Linked DNA regions of Saccharomyces cerevisiae S288C. Changing the gene in region 1 together with any one later gene gives a genetic interaction. Each region holds a gene or a part of one and is shown in the gene's direction. Other genes may lie near its edges.

Region 1 (2,600 bases):
AACTGAACAACACGATAATTGTCTAAGCTTTAAGCATAAGCCAGTGAATTTAATGGTGGACCCGGAAGAAGAGACAAAAATGCTATCATCTGGATTAGAAACGACATCCATAGATGATGACTTGACGACAGTTGCGCCAAAAGGCTTCGCACATCCTGCTAAAATTTCGAATCCAAACAATGGTAAAGGCACCAACAATACAAAATTAAGAAAAAGTAAAAGATTTCAGAACCTCCTAAAGAACAGGACCGACATGCCACCATCAAAATCAAATAAAAAATTCGTTAATGGTGGCGGTGCTCATGAAATTTCAGATCGTAATTCAAAAAATTACCATGTTGTTGGATTATACAGCAAGAACTTCCCCATTTTAAGCAACAAGAATCCTAAAAGTTTAAAGCTGAACATTTTTATCAATTTATCACAAAATAAGAAAGTTTTTCTACAAGAATTGTCATTATACATCCATAGAGACAACAATTACTTTTCAAATTCCTCCTCATTTTATAATATTCCCAATAGCCACAATGGTAATGACTGTAATGGTGTGGCCAAGGGTTATAACGCTGGCTGTACAAGATTAATTGCTGGAAGGATACTAGTGAAAAACATTTTCTATGATAAAAGAGTGGTGGTACGATATACGTGGGATAGTTGGAGAACAACACATGAAGTGGAATGCGTTTACATCAGTGATGGCGATGGAATATTGCCGGGCACTAACATGGACATTTTCCACTTCATTATCGATGATGTCAGCAAAGTGGATCCTCGCGGCAAGTTAGAATTTTGCATTCATTATTCTACACGTAACGACTATGAGCGCGAAGAGTACTGGGACAACAACAACGGGAATAATTATAAGGTGGATGTTGTAATGGATGGCTTTAACGATCCCTTCGCGGCGGCAGCATGAAGGCAACCAGAAGGAAGGAGATGAAGAATGGACATAAAAAGCAAAATGACTTGCTAGATCTTGGCCTGAGTTACTCTCATGATTGGGACCGAACTCCGATAAATAACTCTAAAACATGCTAGAATATTTCAAGTAAATATACATAAATCACAAATAAGCAAATAAACAGATAAATATCTCACAAGAAATCGGGAGCCGATCTTCGATGTGTGTGGGCGTATATACAAATGTGCATTCGGCACGTAAAAGACTGGTAAAGGCTACCGTCCTTCAGTGAGCATTTTTTACATTCATTCAACGCTATACAGCTCTTACTGTGCGACGGAAACGCGACAAAATGTGAAGAGAAAACTAGGGGTTGCTATGACACGACCACGGAAGGCCTAAAAAGTTAAGTGACAGAAATCGTCATTGGTAAAAAAAACCCCGAACATGCCGATAAAGACTTGCTTATTCACCTACGATGACTTCAGAAGTGCGCCTATATTTCTTTACTTTTGAACACCCTTCCACCGCCCATTTAGAGAGAGCTATTTTTGTGCCTTCACTTCCGGCAGAGGTTATATTTTTTTTTTTTTTTTTTTTTTGCATACTACTCCTACTTCTTTCTACAGTCTCATCCCGACGCTTCAGTTTGAAATGTAAGGGACTGCGGCATTTGACTGAAAGAAGGGAGAATGGATGGTTTACTTTACTTTTTACGTAATGAAAAAAAAAATGATTGCTGTATTAGGACATCCCTGTTCTTTTATGTGGTAGCCTATATCCGATAACTGTTCAGCTATAAGACGTGAAGAGAGATTTTTTGGTACCCCTTATGCATTCAATTAAATAGAGAATTAGATATTTCTACCGATGTGCATTTTGTATATAAAGAAGTAGGAATCCCTTCTACAACGACAGAGGTAGACATACTGCTTGGAAACATTCTTTTCGTCCTTTTACAGAATTCTACATAGAAATAATAAAAACAAACAATAGCTTTACTACACAGTACACACTACAATGCAAGATTTAGAGATTTTTTTGAGTATTTTCGCTTTCATTTTCGTTTTCTACTTTGGTGCTCATAGAACAGTCATGAACAGAAACAAGAGCGATGTTCCTTACTTGCAGTGATTTAAATCAGCTAATCTGCTTACTGCCGCCAAGAGAGGTATGCAAAGTCAGTTCTACCTAGTCTGGCTTAGCGTTTTACTATTTACGAAGTTGATGTTCTGTTTTCTAATTTATCTTTTTTCTACTCATTCATTTCCACACTACACTTAATATTTTTTCAATAATTTTCGATGTTTTTAATCCGGTTTTCTATTGATGAGCGCCTTCTTAGCTCATACTTAATACACGTTTTTTAAGATTTATACGTTTGACAGCTCACGCTGTTTGACCAAAGTTATTTTCATTTTTATGTTCGTAATTATGTATTTTTGCTATTGTATATGATATACGTCTATATTTAGGCAATTATAATATGATTATAATATAACTTACTACATCTCTAAAACATGCTGTCTAGCCCTTCCATCGCAAGACTCGGCTAGACATTCGAGGAAGGCACAAAAAGCCACCTATCCCCATCTCTCCAAAAAGCTTCATTTCGAAAATAAGAAGGGAAACATCCGAATAAGACTAAAACTTTGTTCCTTCAATGACTACTAAGTTATTAGATGTCAGAAATCCCGCA
Region 2 (3,397 bases), on another chromosome or scaffold:
CGGTCCTACGGATTTAGTGTTGGCTATTGTTGAGATTAGTAATACGCAGAGAATTTTTCTACCGGTGAAGCGACCATCTCAGATTATTAGGTCAAGCAATAACACTTGTTATTAGATGCGTTACGTTCACCTGGACCCTATATAAAGGCATATTTGCCTTACATTTGGTGTATGGTATCACCTTGTATACTAAGAACATATATATGCAGATATAACAACAGGATATGGTTGCAGAATTTCAAATAGCGAGTGCACAGTCATCGGCATTGACATCTACTGAAGAAGAGCATTGTTCAATAAACTCAGACAAAGCCGCAAAACTGGATCTGGAATTGACCAGTGAACGAAAAAATGACGGCAAACAATCGCATGAAGTGACCTTCAACGAGGACATCGCGGACCCAGAAGATATAGCACGGCATATGAGCACCGCCCGCCGGTATTATATTTCCTCGTTAATTACATTCACATCGATGGTAATTACGATGATCTCGTCCAGCTGGACGCTTCCTTCAACGCACATAATCGAACACTTTCATATTTCGCACGAAGTCAGCACTCTGGGAATTACGCTTTATGTGTTTGGGCTCGGTATAGGACCTTTATTTCTGTCTCCACTAAGTGAACTATATGGACGAAGGATCACATTTTTATACGCCCTTACGCTCAGTATCATATGGCAGTGTTTGACCATTTGGTCCAAGACCATTACGGGTGTCATGTTTGGCAGATTTCTATCCGGGTTTTTTGGTTCAGCCTTTCTAAGTGTGGCTGGCGGCGCCATTGCCGATATATTCGACAAAGACCAAATTGGTATTCCTATGGCAATATACACTACATCGGCCTTTTTGGGGCCCTCTTTAGGACCAATCATTGGTGGAGCCTTATACCATCAAAGTTATAAATGGACATTTATCACACTTCTCATCACTTCTGGATGTTGTCTCGTTATGATCATCTTTACCATACCTGAAACCTACAAACCAATGCTGTTAATACGTAAAGCTAAGAGATTGAGGAAAGAGAAAAATGATCAACGGTATTATGCTGTCCTGGAAGTCACCCGCGAACAGACTTCCTTACTTTCCGCAATCTTTCTCTCAACCAAAAGACCCTTTGGCCTGTTACTTCGAGACCGAATGATGGGTGTGCTTTGCTTCTATACTGGATTGGAACTTGCCATAATATATTTATATTTCGTAGCGTTTCCTTATGTGTTCAAGAAACTTTACAACTTTGGGCCCATGGAGATTGCATGCTCCTATATCGGTATTATGGTCGGCATGATACTCTCGGCTCCTACTTGCTTGTTATTCCAAAAAACGTTTGAGTGGAGAGTCAAAAGAAATAATGGCGTCAAGACTCCCGAAATGAGATTCGAGCCTCTGTTCTACGGCGCCTTTTTGACCCCAGTTGGGCTCTTCATTTTTGCATTCACCTGCTACAAGCATGTCCATTGGATTGCACCAATTATAGGCAGTGCAATTTTCGGTTCAGGTGTTTATTTCGTCTTTACCGGTGTTTTTGCGTATACAGTGGATGCCTATAGAAGATATGCAGCTTCTGGAATGGCTTGTAACACATTTGTGAGATGCATAATGGCCGGTGTCTTCCCTCTTTTCGGACTCCAGATGTACAAGTCAATGGGAGTGAATTGGGCCGGCTTTCTCTTGGCAATGGTGACCGTAGCGATGATTCCTGTCCCATTTCTGTTTACCAAATACGGTGCCCGACTGAGAGCCAAGTCGCCGTATGCATGGGATGATTGATTTTTTTGCATATTTTTTCCTTTGGATGTTGCATAATCTTTTCCCGCTTACGTCATTGGTGATAGATTGTTTCGGATCTTCAAAAGGCAACACGCATAGGCCAAAGAAAAAAGAAATTTTGCATTTTTTCATTTTTGCATATTCTCGCATGTTTTCTTTCTTTTTCTCTAGTTTTCGAATGTTTTTGGCTGCAATGTATATTGTATATAAACCATAAAGGTGCAAAATGCCAGATGTACGCGGCCAATCTTAATTTTCTAGTAAAAGTAGCAGCTAAATCTGAAACTCTCTAGCTTGTAATAAACGAAGGATGACTGTACAAATTCCAAAATTATTATTTTTACACGGCTTCTTGCAAAACGGTAAAGTTTTCTCCGAAAAATCATCTGGTATTAGAAAATTATTGAAGAAGGCTAATGTCCAATGTGACTATATTGATGCACCAGTCCTTTTAGAAAAGAAGGACTTGCCATTTGAAATGGATGATGAAAAATGGCAAGCCACCCTAGATGCGGATGTTAACAGAGCCTGGTTCTATCACAGCGAAATCTCTCACGAATTGGATATCTCAGAAGGTTTGAAGTCTGTTGTTGATCACATCAAGGCCAATGGCCCATACGACGGCATTGTCGGTTTCTCTCAAGGTGCCGCATTGTCCTCTATCATCACCAACAAGATCTCAGAGTTAGTTCCAGACCATCCACAATTCAAGGTAAGTGTAGTCATTTCCGGCTATTCCTTCACCGAGCCAGACCCAGAACATCCTGGAGAATTGAGAATAACCGAAAAATTCAGAGACTCATTTGCGGTAAAACCAGACATGAAGACCAAGATGATCTTCATCTATGGTGCTTCTGACCAAGCCGTCCCATCCGTCAGATCCAAGTACCTGTACGATATTTATTTGAAGGCGCAAAATGGTAATAAGGAAAAGGTGTTGGCTTACGAACACCCTGGTGGACATATGGTTCCAAACAAGAAGGACATTATCAGACCAATTGTTGAACAAATAACCTCTTCCTTACAAGAAGCTTCTGAATAAATCGTAGGTTGTTGCTTACCTGCTTTCTAGCTTTTTACTATCACACGCAGGGTGTGTGGAGTGAAATGCTGATCGAGTATGTATATATACATATAAGTACTTTGTATAGAATGAACCACAAGTTTGTAGCATCCTTTCTCTTCTCTTCCATCCTGCGTGCTGCTAACCCCGCCCGGCGCGAAAAATCCACCCGGGGTGCTTTAGCGTGGCTTACGAAGACCTTTTTAAACATACTTATACTCTTTCTCGAAGGAAGAAAATAATGCAGAAGAGAAACAGCAGAAAAAAAAGAAATCATATTAAATTTCAGAATCAGTCTCCTTTTGCTTCTAGTCATTTAACCATCAAACGCGTTTAACCGTTTAGAAAACCCTCTTCAACAACTATTTGTTTTGATACTAATATTAGCACATCTCTATTGCCATTTAACCACTAATTTTCCGTATAGCGTTTATGTTTGATGACGTCCCAAGAATATGAACCTATTCAATGGAGCGATGAATCCCAAACAAATAATGATAGTGTCAACGATGCGTATGCCGACGTGAATACCACTCATGAGTCGCGTCGAAGAACAACTTTGCAG

Evidence for each region. A genetic interaction does not mean that the proteins touch.
Region 2: mutations in YER053C-A (region 1) and FSH1 together harm fitness more than expected from each alone (negative genetic interaction), as found in Saccharomyces cerevisiae (one large-scale study listed by BioGRID).

The regions. Positions count from the first base shown.
Region 1 is NC_001137.3:260,368-262,967, reverse strand, and holds YER053C-A (uncharacterized protein), read left to right. Parts: upstream 1-1,921; coding exon 1,922-2,035; downstream 2,036-2,600. Other genes in the region: GIP2 (Gip2p), read left to right, coding at 1-916.
Region 2 is NC_001140.6:204,383-207,779, forward strand, and holds FSH1 (putative serine hydrolase), read left to right. Parts: upstream 1-2,079; coding exon 2,080-2,811; downstream 2,812-3,397. Other genes in the region: YHK8 (Yhk8p), read left to right, coding at 225-1,769; divalent metal ion transporter SMF2, read left to right, coding at 3,272-3,397.